Linked DNA regions of Caenorhabditis elegans. The protein of the gene in region 1 interacts with the protein of each later gene in a biochemical or structural test. Each region holds a gene or a part of one and is shown on either strand. Other genes may lie near its edges.

Evidence for each region. The genes of interacting proteins can lie anywhere in the genome.
Region 2: the proteins of spd-5 (region 1) and zyg-9 form a complex in vitro, tested with the Caenorhabditis elegans proteins (one study listed by BioGRID).

Annotation. Positions count from the first base shown.
Region 1 is NC_003279.8:5,170,398-5,178,486, reverse strand, and holds spd-5 (Spindle-defective protein 5), read left to right. Parts: upstream 1-1,832; 5' UTR 1,833-1,889; intron 1,890-2,950; 5' UTR 2,951-2,965; coding exon 2,966-3,017; intron 3,018-3,068; coding exon 3,069-3,256; intron 3,257-3,303; coding exon 3,304-4,401; intron 4,402-4,448; coding exon 4,449-4,530; intron 4,531-4,575; coding exon 4,576-4,973; intron 4,974-5,021; coding exon 5,022-5,235; intron 5,236-5,278; coding exon 5,279-6,164; intron 6,165-6,213; coding exon 6,214-6,464; intron 6,465-6,514; coding exon 6,515-6,846; intron 6,847-6,897; coding exon 6,898-6,993; 3' UTR 6,994-7,185; downstream 7,186-8,089. Other genes in the region: npp-6 (NUP160 middle TPR domain-containing protein), read right to left, coding at 1-284, 343-986, 1,037-1,162, 1,211-1,515, 1,570-1,651; Condensin-2 complex subunit hcp-6, read right to left, coding at 7,186-7,338, 7,383-7,726, 7,828-7,914. UniProt on the Caenorhabditis elegans protein: Plays a central role in centrosome maturation and mitotic spindle assembly during the first division of the zygote. Required for the centrosomal localization of air-1 and zyg-9. Probably not required in late embryogenesis and during larval development.
Region 2 is NC_003280.10:8,456,055-8,464,180, reverse strand, and holds the start of zyg-9 (Zygote defective protein 9), read right to left. Parts: upstream 6,364-8,126; 5' UTR 6,361-6,363; coding exon 6,169-6,360; intron 6,123-6,168; coding exon 5,265-6,122; intron 5,218-5,264; coding exon 4,639-5,217; intron 3,137-4,638; coding exon 3,050-3,136; intron 2,951-3,049; coding exon 2,798-2,950; intron 2,749-2,797; coding exon 2,295-2,748; intron 2,248-2,294; coding exon 1,901-2,247; intron 1,703-1,900; coding exon 1,190-1,702; intron 1,073-1,189; coding exon 144-1,072; intron 68-143; coding exon 1-67. Other genes in the region: F22B5.6 (Serpentine Receptor, class J), read left to right, coding at 8,038-8,067. UniProt on the Caenorhabditis elegans protein: Plays a major role in organizing microtubules and spindle poles during mitosis and meiosis in one-cell stage embryos. Required for default nucleus positioning in oocytes.

The DNA.
Region 1 (8,089 bases):
AAACCACATCAATCAGTGTTTCTATGCTTGAATCTGCCGAGAGGTTATATGGGCGCTCAATTGCAGGTTCCACTTCATCCGTATTGCCGATCGGTTCTTCTTTGGTAGTGGCAGGCGAAGTGAACTGACGAACGGAATGCCAATCGAAATCTGTGAAAACTCGTCCCTTTTTCCATTGGATAGCAAATGAGATCCGTTTCATCGAATAGGTTTTCTTTGCAGATGAACTTTTGAAAAGAGCAGAAAGTGAAAATAGTGCAGCTGTGAGAGGATTATACAATTCCCTGAAACAATTTTATATTTAGACAAGAAAAAAACCCATTTTATAACAACGATTCTTACCCATCTTGTGTCTCATCAAGACTTTCCGATTCCTTTGATGGGAAATAGTTTTGAATAAGCTCGAGATCAACAAGTCGTTCATCAACGGACATCGATGTTTCGAACATTTGTAGATGTTGAATTTGATCATTTGAAACTTTGAGAATATGAACTCTCATCCCGACGCTTTTTCCCGAAACTGCCAAATCACATCCAACAATCAGAAGAATATCCACATCGAATGAATAAGCTCTGATAGAATATACAGTTTCAGTTGGTTCCATTGGAGACTTTTCTTCCTCGAAGTCTGCAGATTCTAGATCTCGATTCAAAGATTTTCCGTCTGAAGCAAAGTAGTTATTCAAGTCAATAGTGCTTGGCAATTGTTTTTTCGTCTCAACATTCCATGCTTGCACCCATCCGTCTCTGGTAACAGCGAACACAATATCGGATTGGACTGAAATTTTTCGCTCTCTCGTGACTCCAGAAGTCGGGCGAAGATTCTTCATAACACATGCATCACTGACTCGTTTATCAGTGCCACCTAGAAGTTTTCCCAGAAGACCAACTTCTCCCATTGTGAATTCTTCGTGTTTATCACTGGATTCCGTGTATGATCCCAATGTGACAATGACCAACTGCCCTTCAGCGGTACAGTAAGAAATCTGAATTCAAAATTCGAAATATAGGTTGTAATCAATTTCCATTTTTATACCGTATTTCTTGAAGGATGATGTGTAACACTTGCACGAATCGGGCGCCCTGGTGTTGAAAGGGAGTGAGATGTTCTGAATCGGCGGAAATCGTCATCTTCTTTAATTCTTGCAAGAATTGAGAACGTCTGAAAATAATTATTCTCATTCGATTATGGAAATTTTTGAGAACAAACATCATGGCCTTTGGAGTGGAGTCTCGCGTAGAAACGATGAATTGCAGAAGCTGTGGGAACGACAATACATAAAACCCCTTCCTCGAAAATTGTTATCGATGTTCCAGGAATAATAGGTGTGCGTGTGAAGTCAATGCACAACGATCCATCCGTGATTGAGTAGAGCAAAGAACGCTCCTCAATGAACAGTTTCTGGCCAATCGCACGCCACAGGAAAATCCGATCGCCGTAATTTGAGCAGTGCGGAAATGTTGCAACTCCTGCGGACGGTTGCACATCAAATCCATTCGAATGAAGCGGCGCATCTAAAAAAGTGAAATTTGTTGTAGAAACAATTATTTAATGAAATTGAAACTTACTGGTGTTTACCACAAAAGTTCTAGCCGGCTTTATAGCAAATCCATCCGTGAAGCTGATTTCCGACCCGTAAACCAGCTCCATCTGAAATTAAGCATAAAACACGATGTTAAAGCAAAAGAGAAATATGGAGATGAAATAAACACGTTCAAAAATATTTAAATATCGTTAAAAACAATTTTTCATTGGCGTGAACTTGTTTTACTTGTTTTTTATACGTTTTTTTATACGTGAAAAAATGGAAGAAAACAATTCACTTTAAATTTTAATCACTTATCGAGAAGGTTCTCATTGGATTCAAAGAAAAACTTGTTAGAAATTTGTGAGTTTTTACAATAAGCTTCATATTTTGACACTTTGCGATGTAAAATTTTACAAAACAATGATGAATTGAGCCGAAAACGCCTCCATATGGAGCTCCATTCGAATTCAAAAATAAGGGGCGTGGCTGCATGAGCAATACCGCCGCATGGTATTTCGCAACATGCGCACACTTTTTCTCTGTCAAGAAAAACGAGGCCCCACGAAAAGGGGATCTGCAAAAAGGGGATCTGCGAAAAGGGGAGATACGAAAAGGGGAGATACGAAAAGGGGAGCAACGAAAAGGGGATCTGGCACTGTGCCAAACGCTATTTTTCTCGAAGAAAACGATACAACGATTGTCGCGAATACGCAGAATACTGAGTCATCAACAATGACAAAGCCGGGAAACTCCTGTTTGAAAGCCGCGCCAAAAGACACACACGTCACGCGTGTTACAGTACTACCACACATGCACATCAAACCCCAACACGTCGACACCACGCAAGGAAATCGTCACTTCTTCGTTTTACTCTTGGACCGGCAGGTCGCATGTTAAATATATGAGCTTTCTCATTTTTATCATTTAACGGATTTATCAGTAATAAATTATATAATTCTACCACTTTTGAACCTATACCGATCCGAAACATGGTGCATCGGCTCCGATGTTACGCGTCGCGTGTTGTTAAGCGTATCTTCTAGAAGAAAATTTCAAAAATCAACGTGCGTTGCGTGAGAAAAATTGCGTTTTGTGCGTTTGGCACAGTGCCAGCTCCCCTTTTCGTTGCTCCCCTTTTCGTATCTCCCCTTTTTGCAGATCCCCTTTTCGTTCTGCTCCCCTTTTCGTGGGGCCTCAGAAAAACGCGCGCCTAAACGTGAATTTTGAATTTTCTCCGCGTCCGCGAAATTCTTACGTTTCCATAGTAACAAAAGTTGGTCCGCACTTGTTTTTCATGATTATGCACGCCCAAAGAACGGTGCTGAAGCTTCAAATTTTGCAACCTCCTGTTCATTTTGACTCAAAACTCTTAATCCCAAAAAAACGCTCAATTTTGTTTTCGAACCCGTTTCTTGTTTCAGAAAACTTCGCGTTAAATGGAGGATAATTCTGTGCTCAACGAGGACTCCAATCTCGAGCATGTCGAGGGTAATTATAACATTTAAAATCAATAACTGCATAAATGCAAAGGTTTTTTAGGCCAGCCACGAAGATCTATGTCGCAACCAGTTCTGAATGTTGAAGGAGACAAAAGAACGTCTTCGACCAGTGCCACTCAACAGCAAGTATTGTCAGGAGCATTTTCGTCTGCTGATGTTCGTAGCATCCCCATCATCCAAACATGGGAAGAAAACAAAGCGCTTAAAACAAAAATAACTATCCTGAGAGTAAGTAATTTATCATATGCTTATTTAGAAATGATTTGAGTTTGTAGGGAGAACTGCAAATGTATCAGCGCCGGTATAGTGAGGCAAAGGAAGCGTCGCAGAAGAGAGTTAAGGAAGTTATGGACGATTATGTCGATCTCAAATTAGGCCAAGAAAATGTTCAAGAGAAAATGGAGCAATACAAACTGATGGAAGAGGATTTGCTAGCAATGCAATCGAGAATTGAAACTTCCGAAGACAATTTTGCCAGACAGATGAAAGAATTTGAGGCACAAAAGCATGCAATGGAGGAAAGAATCAAGGAACTGGAATTGTCCGCTACTGATGCAAACAACACAACTGTCGGATCTTTTCGTGGAACTCTTGATGACATTCTGAAGAAAAACGATCCAGATTTCACATTAACCTCTGGTTATGAAGAAAGAAAGATCAACGACCTGGAGGCAAAGCTCCTCTCTGAGATCGACAAGGTAGCTGAGCTGGAAGATCACATTCAGCAGCTCCGTCAAGAACTTGACGACCAATCTGCAAGGCTTGCCGATTCAGAAAATGTTCGCGCTCAGCTTGAAGCGGCCACTGGACAAGGAATCCTCGGAGCTGCTGGAAACGCTATGGTTCCAAATTCAACGTTCATGATCGGGAACGGTCGTGAATCACAGACGCGAGACCAGCTCAATTACATTGATGATCTTGAAACGAAGTTAGCTGATGCGAAGAAGGAAAATGATAAGGCTCGTCAGGCACTCGTTGAATACATGAACAAGTGTAGCAAGCTTGAGCACGAGATTCGAACCATGGTTAAAAATTCGACATTTGATTCTTCTTCCATGTTGCTTGGTGGTCAGACATCCGACGAGCTTAAAATCCAAATAGGAAAGGTGAACGGTGAATTGAATGTGTTGAGAGCTGAAAATCGAGAACTCCGCATTCGTTGTGATCAATTGACCGGAGGCGATGGAAATCTTAGCATTTCACTGGGACAAAGTCGACTGATGGCTGGTATTGCGACTAATGATGTCGATAGCATTGGACAAGGAAATGAGACTGGCGGAACATCGATGCGCATTCTTCCCAGAGAAAGTCAATTAGATGATCTTGAAGAAAGCAAATTGCCGCTCATGGATACATCATCTGCTGTTCGAAATGTAAGTGTATGAAAATTATTATTTAAAATAAAGTCTTGAATATTTAGCAGCAACAATTTGCCTCCATGTGGGAAGATTTCGAGTCAGTGAAAGACAGCCTGCAGAACAACCATAATGACACCCTTGAAGGTAGTAAAATTGATTCCTAGATTTTTTGAAATTGATTATTGTTAGGTTCCTTCAATTCGTCAATGCCACCACCTGGTAGAGATGCAACTCAATCGTTCCTCAGTCAGAAGTCTTTCAAGAATTCTCCGATTGTAATGCAGAAACCAAAATCACTTCATCTTCACCTGAAGAGCCATCAATCCGAGGGAGCTGGCGAACAAATACAGAATAATTCGTTTTCTACGAAGACTGCTTCTCCTCACGTGTCACAAAGTCACATTCCAATTCTGCACGATATGCAACAAATTCTGGATTCTTCTGCAATGTTCCTTGAAGGCCAGCATGATGTAGCTGTAAATGTTGAGCAAATGCAAGAGAAAATGTCCCAGATCAGAGAGGCTCTTGCTCGACTTTTCGAAAGACTTAAATCTTCTGCTGCTCTTTTTGAAGAGATTCTTGAAAGGGTATGAAAACTGTCAAGTTGTGAATCTGTAAATCTGAGTTTTTTGTAGATGGGATCCAGTGATCCAAATGCGGATAAGATCAAGAAAATGAAGCTCGCATTTGAAACAAGTATTAACGACAAGCTCAATGTATCTGCCATCTTGGAAGCAGCGGAGAAGGATCTTCATAATATGTCACTCAATTTCTCAATTCTCGAGAAGTCGATAGTTAGTCAGGCTGCGGAAGCTTCGAGAAGATTCACTATTGCACCCGATGCTGAAGGTAATATAAATTTTAGAGACGCTCATAAATCAATATTTTCCAGATGTCGCCTCATCTTCTCTTCTCAATGCCTCGTATAGTCCACTCTTCAAGTTTACAAGCAATTCAGACATAGTGGAAAAGCTTCAGAATGAGGTATCGGAGTTGAAAAATGAATTGGAGATGGCTCGTACACGAGATATGAGATCTCCATTGAACGGTTCGTCTGGAAGATTGTCGGATGTGCAGATCAACACCAATCGCATGTTTGAAGATCTCGAAGTATCTGAAGCAACGCTACAAAAGGCTAAAGAGGAAAATTCTACATTGAAAAGTCAATTTGCTGAACTCGAAGCCAATCTCCATCAAGTTAATTCTAAGCTTGGAGAAGTGCGATGCGAGCTCAATGAAGCGTTGGCTCGTGTGGATGGTGAACAGGAGACTCGTGTCAAAGCTGAAAATGCATTGGAAGAGGCTCGTCAGCTCATCAGTTCTCTAAAACATGAGGAAAATGAGCTCAAGAAAACCATTACTGATATGGGGATGCGATTGAATGAAGCAAAGAAGAGCGATGAATTCTTGAAAAGCGAGTTATCTACCGCGCTGGAGGAAGAAAAAAAATCCCAAAATCTAGCAGATGAGTTGAGTGAAGAATTGAATGGGTGGAGAATGAGAACAAAAGAGGCGGAAAATAAAGTTGAACATGCTTCATCCGAGAAATCTGAAATGCTTGAAAGAATTGTTCATTTGGAGACTGAGATGGAGAAGTTGTCGACTTCAGAAATTGCGGCCGACTATTGTTCTACGAAGATGACAGAAAGAAAGAAGGAAATTGAGTTGGCGAAGTATCGCGAAGATTTTGAGAATGCCGCTATTGTAGGATTGGAACGTATCAGTAAGGAGATATCTGAGCTAACCAAGAAGACTTTGAAAGCCAAGATTATCCCAAGGTATTATCAAACGTCGTGCTTGTTTTTTTTTATTTGAGAACATTTTCAGCAACATCTCATCGATTCAACTCGTTTGCGATGAACTCTGTCGTCGTCTTTCCAGGGAACGAGAGCAACAGCATGAATACGCGAAAGTTATGAGAGACGTCAATGAAAAAATTGAAAAGCTTCAATTAGAGAAAGATGCTCTCGAACATGAGCTGAAAATGATGAGCTCTAATAACGAGAATGTCCCACCAGTTGGAACATCGGTCAGTGGCATGCCTACTAAAACATCGAATCAAAAGTGTGCTCAACCTCGTAAGTCATACTTATGCACATCAGAAGTTGAATTTTCACCAATTCTCCAGATTACACGAGCCCTACTCGACAATTGCTCCACGAATCAACTATGGCTGTCGACGCAATTGTTCAGAAACTCAAGAAGACTCACAATATGTCAGGAATGGGTCCAGAGCTTAAGGAGACGATTGGCAACGTCATCAATGAATCCAGAGTTCTTCGCGATTTCCTCCATCAGAAGCTCATTCTATTCAAAGGAATCGATATGTCCAATTGGAAGAACGAGACCGTCGATCAACTGATCACAGATCTCGGACAATTGCATCAGGATAACTTGATGCTTGAGGAGCAAATCAAGAAGTACAAAAAGGAACTGAAACTGACAAAATCCGCCATCCCGGTATGAAATTCTTTTTCTATTGAAATCTATTTTGAAAAATATCATTTTCAGACACTTGGTGTCGAATTTCAAGACAGAATCAAAACGGAAATTGGCAAAATCGCAACTGATATGGGAGGAGCTGTGAAGGAAATTCGCAAAAAGTGAACTGATCTGTTAATGTATTAAAATGGAACCAGTTTTATCAACACTATCATCTCGACAAGATTAACTTGTAACGATTGTATTGTTTTCCCAGCCTAAAGATACACCTAATGCATCTATCAATGTACTTGTGAATTAAATGCTTCTTTTCTGGTAGTTGACTGCAATCCCATTACAGATAATAAAAGGAACAGATTAATTTAATGAAAAAACAGCGGACAATCTTACAATAATACAAACAGTTGAGATAAATAAGACAAATTTCGATGGAAGATTTATACAATGACATTGATCAGCTTTCCTCTTCATCCTCTTCGAAGATATTGTGAAGGTGATAAGCTTGACTTTCTGTAAAATTAAGGCGTTTTGTAAATTCAAGAAATTGTGAATACCTTACTTCTGTTTTTCAAGTCTTCCTTTTCGGTAATAGCCGACAAATTAAGGGAGAATGTGACATCGCTTGGATCTGCGTCTTCTCGTGATCGAATCGGAGTTGAACAATGACGTCCTGCACCAAGCTTACTTTCATCGAAAATCAACGGAGTCACTCCGCGTGACAGTGGATCATTTTCAGTGTTACCAGATGAACTTGTTGGCACATTTTCCTCTTCCTCGTCAACAGATTTCCGTTTTCGATTAGAATTCTCTTTCACGACTGGTGGCTCTGTTGACTGACCCCGACGACTACGACGCAAAGTGACGTTGGCCGAAATATTGACTTCCTTTTCCGGGGATTCTTCAAGAAAATAAATTATTTAAAACACATTTTTTCTTGTGTGAAAGCGTGGTCAATAAAATACAGCAAATTGAACAATGAAATCAGGAAAAATAACTTACTGTTGACAATTTTCGGCTTCTTCCATATTTTTCCATCAGCATCCACAGACTCTTCATCATCGTAATTTGGCGTTTTTCTACGACGAGCTGGAATAATTTTTGAATTCAGACGTTTTTTTTAGTATTGTTTATTGTTTTCGACGATTATGCATTGTAGTTTTTTTCAATCAAAAGTGAGCGAAAAGCCTGTCGTTAACTAACAAATTAATATAATTTTCTGTCGAAAAATAACACTCGGAATTGTATCTAGTTCACAAATGCC
Region 2 (8,126 bases), on another chromosome or scaffold:
CTTTGGACGGATCATGTTTCCACGCGCACGAGTGATGGTTGCGTCTCCACGAGATAGAGGTGTTCCACTGAAAATTAGTTTTTTTTAGTTTGGCAAAATATGAGATGAGAGCTAAATTACGTTCTTTGTCTTATGAAACTTACACAATCATAGTATCCATTCTGTTTATATCTGTTGGAGTTATTCTACCTTCCTCTTGAACAGGACCAGTAGCTGCCATGGCTTTGAAAACTGCCATTGACGATTTAACGACATGAGAGAGGTTAAAGTCAATCCTCTTCTTTCTGGAACACTCGCCGACTAGCTCCTTGATGAGCTCTCCCATTGGATTATTTTTGAGATATTCCATATACTCATTCCAAGATCGGTCACTGGATGCAATGAGAATATTCAGTTGCTCAATATGTTTAACTGCCATCGAGGTATCACGCAGAATATTGTCGATCGAAACTTGAACGCCGCTTCGCACTACAACTGCTTCATCCTCTTGTGGCATTCTGGCTTCCAATGTTCCAGGCATGATAGGATCAATTTTTCGTTCTCTCATCATTTGTAAAATCTTGTTGATCATACTGGTCAAGTGCATATGTGGTCGAGAAAGACGACGGGCAGCATCCAAGACGACGTCTCCTTGCTGAAGGATAACCCGCTCCAAATAGTTATCAACTATCAAAATGTGTGAATCGCTGATGTCCATTTTAAGTTCTGTGAGTGCACAAACGTAGAAAGCATTGAATGAGTCGACTATATCCGAGGCTCTCAGTTGAGCTCTTCTCTTTTCAAGTTCATCACACCATTTCGACGAGAGCTTCGACACAAGTTCGGTTATACCGGTGTTCATTTGAAGTGATTCAGTCATTGCCAGAATCAATCCGCACAACAGATTAGACAGCTCAACTCTGTAGATTAATCGCATTGCCAGTCGATTGAGAGATCTTGCCATTCCGTATCCGGACTCTGTGTTACCGATTTGGATGATACATCTGAGGACCGAAGAGATGATGGCTTTGACTGTGTCGGGGGACGCATTAAGTGGCTCAAGGCCGTGCTCAGTTTCGACTCCTCCCATCAACTGAAAAGATAAATTTGGATATATACATATACATGGCATGACTAAATGAAACAAAGAGAGCCAGATATATTTCGGAACTCCCCTTGATTACTATGACATATGAAAAATATAACTTACAATGAAAAGCATTTGCGTACAAGCGTCCATAGTTCCACTGACATCTCGTCCAGCATTGAATTCTTCAATCACCAAATCTAATTGAGCAGCAGATGCACGAAACACCAAATCGGCACGTCGATCAACAAGATGACGTTGTTCAGGTTGATTAAGAACATAAGTGACCTGGAACATAGCATCTTGAGCAACATCTGCAAGACTGCTCGAAATATTGTTGATGCTTCTTTGGATTTGATCAGAAGTGTCTATGGAGGAAATCGACGATGAAGAATTGGTCCGCTTCATTTGGAAGGTATTGTTTGACCAGCCATTGACAGGTTGTGGTGGAGTGATGACTTGAGTGCCATCAAGACGGCCCATGGCTGACGAAAAGACGTCGTCACGAAGTGCATAGCGAGATGAAGTTTTTGGAGGCATTGTGTCTTGTCGTATAGTGAAGGTGTCGCTTTGAACTTCTTCTGGTTCAGGTTCACGAGTACGAGATCGAGAAGCAGGACGACGAACAACCGAACCCTGAAAAACATGTAATTTTTCGTTTTCTAAAAACTGAACGAAACTTCGCGTGGGTATCGAATAGGGAATCACTACTAACTCCAAATATTTGAGACAAAAAAAAATATTATTTACTTCCAACTCGTAAGACTGTATGGCCGATTCAAGTGATCTTTCAGGGAACCTGACTCATTACGAGAAATATTTTAAACAACTAACCTGTTGTTGTGGCACTAAAATTTTGGGTCCTCCAGTTGGCGGCGAGGTGACAACACCAGATCCCGGTTTCACTCCTGTTCGTTTTATTCTTTCCTCAACCAACGACTTGTCCTTATCTGCCATTCTTCCTGCTGCTTTCCACATTTGATCACCTTCAAATTTGAAACAAGCCACGAGAACATTGATAGCAGCATTTCGGACGTTGACATCCTTGTCACCAACAAATGGAGCAACTGTTTTTTCGACTGATAACGATTTCAGCGGACTTATTCCAGCATTTGTAATGTAGTATTCAATGACTAGCAGACACTCGGAACGTTGGCGAGCGTTTTTCGACTTCAGCGCATCTGAAAATAAAAATTACTAGAACATTATTGATCTTCTTCTCTCATACCAAGTAGCATGGGTGTCATCTTGAGTGGACCGACAACATCTGAAAGTACATTGACAATATCCCTGACAGAAGTTCTCATATTGTCTTTGGCTTCTCCTGTCTTCAATAACAAGTATGGAACAAATGCAGACACCTCTTCTTGTGACATTGGAGTTTCTGTATCCCGAATTAGCTCCACAATAACTTTGCACAATTCCAAAACTTTGATAAGTGCGGCCGGGTTGGTCTCGAAAAATCGCAAAGTGCACCATTTTAATAGAAGATCGCTGTTGGATAGAAGAGATCGAGGAGATGTATCGGCAAGGCGAACCAGAGAATCAAGAGCCGCAAGATGCTGCTTGAAATCTTTGTGGAAAAGTTGACTCATTAGAGACACTTTCGCTTGGTTTCCGAGCAGGGTTTGAAGTTGCGAGATATGTTCATCAGTCGGAGCTTGGAAATTCCATTTGACTAACTGCAAATTAATTAGAATGTATGATTATTAACTCATTTAAAGCAATTACTTTTAATTGCTTCTCTTCCTTGATTCGTTGCTTTTTATCCTCGTTGTCACTGAGCAAAAGTTCGGCTTTTGGTGCAACAACGGGAGGCTCGTTTTCTTCGTTCTCCTTCACGGGAACTTTCTTCTTCTTATCGCCTGGTGGTGGTTTCAGGGGCTGAAAAAAAAATAATAAAAAATTGTAAGTTTTCAGTTTTAAACGACCACACAATCGATACAAATTACTATATGGAAATAAGAACACAATTTTAATCACCTCATCCTCTTCCTCGACCACTTCCTCATCTTCCGGTTGTTTCTTCGGTGGAGCTGTTTTTTTCGGTGGTGCAGCAGCTGGCGGAGCCTAAATTTGACAACACATTCACAATAAAATTACAAATAAGCAGTACAAAAATCATCAGTGAATACTTCTAAATACTATCATTACTTATATATAAAAAAATAATTCCGTTTGTTCCATAGTTTGTAGTCTATGTAGTCTTTGTAGTCTGTGACGTCACACCCAAAGTCACTGAGAATTGTGGGCGGGGTCTGTCATCCTTCGCGGTGAGACTCATCGTGGCGAGACCCATCGTGGTGAGACCCATCGTGGCGAGACCCACCGTGGTGAGACCCGTCGTGGTGAGACCCATCGTGGTAATACCCACCGTGGTGAGACCCGTCGTGGTAAGACCCAAAATTTTGGCGGGAAATTTAAATTTTCTGTGAAAAATAATTTGGCGGGAAATTTAAATTTTCTGTGAAAAATATTTTGGCGGGAATTTTAAATGTTCTGTGAAAAATATTTTGGCGGGAAATTTAAATTTTCTGAGAAAAATATTTCGGCGAGAAATTTAAGTTTTCTGTGAAAAATATTTTTGCGGGAAATTTAAATTTTCTGAAAATTCTAAAATTCTGGAAATCTAGAATCTTCTGGAAATTTCGAAAAAATTCTCGAATGTTCCAGAACTTTCTAGAAAAATCGAGAAAATTCTGGAATGTTCCAGAACTTTGTAGAAAAATCGAGAAAATTCTGGAATGTTCCAGAACTTTCTAGAAAAATTGGGAAAAGTCTGGAATGTTCCAGAACTTTCTAGAAAAATTGGGAAAAGTCTGGAATGTTCCAGAACTTTCTAGAAAAATTGAGAAATTTCTGTAATGTTCCAGAACTTTCTAGAAAAATTGGGAAAAGTCTGGAATGTTCCAGAACTTTCTAGAAAAATTGGGAAAAGTCTGGAATGTTCCAGAACTTTCTAGAAAAATTGAGAAATTTCTGTAATGTTCCAGAACTTTCTAGAAAAATTGGGAAATTTTTGGAATGTTCCAGAACTTTCTAGAAAAATCGAGAAATTTCTGTAATGTTCCAGAACTTTCTAGAAAAATCGAGAAAATTCTGGAATGTTCCGAAAAATTGAGCTTAGAGCTTTAGAAGAGGTAGTTATTCGGGAGTTTATGGGGGATCAAGTCAAGGTACTGTAGTGTTACTATAGGGGTACTGTAGGTATACGGTAGGGTTACTGTAGTTTTGGAAAAATTGGCATTTCGTCCTTTGAAGAGGTATTGGGTTAGGAGTCGGTGGAGGATAATGTCAAGGTACTGTAGTGGTATTGTAAGGTTACTGTCTTGGTCAAAAAATAACAGAAAGTTTTCATACTGTCTGTGAATTTTTGAAACATGCATGTCGTAGAAAAATACATACATGTAACAGTGCCAGTAAACCGCGTTTTAAGTGTTTCAAGTTTTTTTCATGATGAGAAATTTTTTGAGTGATTGAAGGTATGTGTGTCAAATACTTTTAATGGTGCCAGGCGTTGCCCGCGCCGTAGGCGCGGTCAGCGGCTGGTTAATAATAATAAAATAACTCACATCTGCTTTGTGAATCGATTTGACCATTTCAGCAATCTCTGCGGGCCCAGCTTCATCCAACGCCTTCTGATGAAACTCCTTGATTTTGCTCATTTTCAGATTATCCGATGCAATATCGGCGAGAAGTTGCAGAGAAGGTTTTTCTCCAATGGCTCTCATCATTGCTCCCATTGCAGCGTATGATGCTTCACGAACTTCCGAATCCGAATCACCAGAATGTTTTATCAACGACGGGATCAGCGTCTTCAAAGTCTTCTTCGGCATGGTCTGTGAATTCAGTTTCATGAAGCATCGTTGAAGGAAAAGATCCGTTTGAGTCTTAATGCTTGGATTTGGTTTTCCGAGCGCTGCGAGTACGATTTCTCCAACTGCTTCGAGATTTGTGGTTGCAACAACTGCATCAATGCAAGCAACCAGCGGATCACGTAGAGTTGGTTTCTTCTCTTTGAACTTCTCAAAAATGATTGGAGTCACAGACACAGCAAACGGCTGGAACTTCGTACGGAGACCATTAGCAATACCAGTTATACAATTGGCCGCTAGTGCAGCCACATTGATATTTGCATCTTTCTCGAGGACCTTAATATTTGAATTTAAAATAATTTTTCAGGACAAAATACACATACCTTCTGCAATCTCTCAACGAGTGCGCCATAGTTTGCCTTTGGGTCGAGCTTCGGATTCGCTGTGATCAATTGAAGCAAACCTTCAAGCGCTTCTTTTCGTTCCTGCCATTTCTTGCTTTCGATGTTGGTATCAAAACCGTCGGGCATTTTGGAAAGTACGTCGAAAGCGTCAAGAAAATCCCAAGGATCGGCTTCCGCAACTGGAGCTCCAGATGAAACAACAGCAGTTGCTGTTCCGCCGGATGGATCTCCCGAAGCAGCACTTGCCGAAGGTGTCGAAGAAGTGGGAGCGACTGGTGGAGCATTTTTAGCTTGTTCTTCTGCGAAGCTAGCGGTTGATTTTTCAGCATATTCCCCAATCTTTTTCATTTTCCCTTCATCGGAAGAAGCATCGCCGAGGAGATTTTTAACGTTTTTGTCTCCAATGATGCGCTGAACAGCTCCTAAACCTTGAAGAGATGCCTCTCTGACATCTTGATCTGCATCGCCAGTCAATTTTCCAAACACAGGCACAACAGCTTTGATGAATCCTTTTGGTTGTTTTGCTGGAACCACCAAATCTAACTGCCGAGCCACAAAAAGTGCAGTCTGTTGCTTGATCTGAGGATTTGGTTTGGCCAGCGCCGCCAAAATGTCTTCCTGACCAGTTTCCAAAGATTGCATTGTACGGCCGACTTCATTGGAACAGTCTACAAGAGGTTCTCGGAGCATCGGCTTCTTTTCTTTCATTTTTTCGAAAATGACGGGAAGAAGTGGTCCTGCGAAAGAAGAGAATTTTGCACGTAATCCCGTTGCGAATTTTCCGATGCATTTGGCTGCAAGCGCTTGGCAATTGATGTTTGCATCTTTTGCTAGAACCTGTAAAATGAGATTGCAGAAATGACCGAAAAATATGAAAACCAACCATCTGCAGATGACCAATAAGTTCGGCATATGAAGCTTTTGTTGAAAGTCGCTCATTGTCCGTGAGTACTTTGAGAAGTGCTTCCAATGCCTCTTTTCGTTCCTGCCATTTTTTGGATTCTCGCAGCTCATCGAAGTTCGGTGGAAGTTTGGGAAGGATATCCACCTCGTCCAGATAATCCCAATTGGACATTATCTGAAAAATGACAGTTTACTACGTGCCTTGCAATAAACAAAGAAAGCGAACGAAAATAAGTTTTGAAGAGAAAGGAGATTTCAACAATAGATTTCCGGTGGAGAACGTAGAGGGAAAAAATCAATATTTTCGAACTGCGAGGGGTAATTGGGGTCACATGGAACTTTTTCGCCGCAAGCCCATTTTCGACCGATTTCGCAACCCGTCAAAAAGAAGCGCAAACAGAGAAACAGAGGCGGACGGGCCGGCTCAGTTGCACTACGCGGCAAAAAAAAAGAAAGGACAAAAAATCAATGAATTCTTTATACAACTTTTTGTTCGAGCCAAGTGAATACTAAAACACTACGCAGATAATAAATTTGATTAATTAGATAATGGAAGTGCTTCACAAAGAAACAAAATCTCAAAAAAAGGACGAAACATCTCGAACAAACGCTTAACACTGTGCGACAAACACTGAAAAGCTTAACTTGCGACGACAAATTATTTAAACAATTTAATGATGAGCTCACATGGGAACAACTGATATTCATTGAAAAAGTGCGAAAGCGAGAAGGTTTCCGTTGCGCTTTTCAAAACTATTTTCTACCGCGCGTTCGAATAAAAATGTCGTCAAGTGGCATGCTTGATACGCAACGCGCGCGTAAAACGACGGGGCTGTCAACTGCGTACTGAACAAGAAAGGAAACATTTTCTAAAAAGCTCTGTTAAATAGCGAAATTTGGTCTTAAAAATAATTAAAGCGCAACGAAGAAATGTTTATTTCAAAAATACGAATGCAAAATGAACAAGAAGTGTTTTGGAAGGGAGAATTCGCGCGCTTAAGCCATCGATCAAGGTCAATTTCAGATATGGAGACCGGGAGATGAAAATTTTTGATTTGTAACAAGACAAAAATGAGCCTACGCCTAAAAAACGCGTTTGAAACGCGAGAAAAACAGGAAATTTGGCGCCAAAAATGCTGTGCGGTCTCGACACGACAAATTTTTGATAAATGAAAAAGGTGCGCGTCTTTAAAGAGTACTGTTGTTGCAAACTTTGGTTACTGCAGATTTTCTATCGATTTCTCAAATACCGTATATTTCCTATTAGCGCTGCATCTTCAATAGTACTACAGTCTCTAATAATGTGTGTTTTTGTATATTTTTGATGGTTTCTTGTTAATTTACAAACATCATATTTATTTTCTGATAATACTGCAGTCTCTAATAGTGCTCGAAAGTTAGTGTTGTATGCAGCACGCGTAAAAAAAAGGGCCCGAAAGTTAGTGTTGCATGCAGCACGCGTTTATTAAACCTTTTTTTTTTGAATAAAAAAATCTAAATTTTAACAATTCGTGAGAAGAAGCATGAAAAACCCCTATGGTACTTTTGCTTATGTTAATTCGTGTTGTCTCTCGACGTGGATCTCACAAAAAAAACGTCCATCGTACTTCTTGGAGGCTCTTATCCTACCAACGGTTCCTGAAAGCTGGTGGCTTCTGGCGCAATATCATATAATTCACGGTGAACTCGAAGATAATATTTTGACTCTAAATAAAAATTTTCACATATTTTGTCTCATCGAAAATTCGTCTATAACACAATAACATACATATAAACATACGGTATAAAAGAAAACAATGTATCATGAAACAGTGTCAGTTGAGTCAGCGAAAAAGTCGTTCTTCTGACGATGTCGAAGAACATTCCATTTTTTGTACAAGTACGTTTTTCTTTTATTTCAAAACTAGACAACATGTTGAAAAATCATTCACAGTTTTC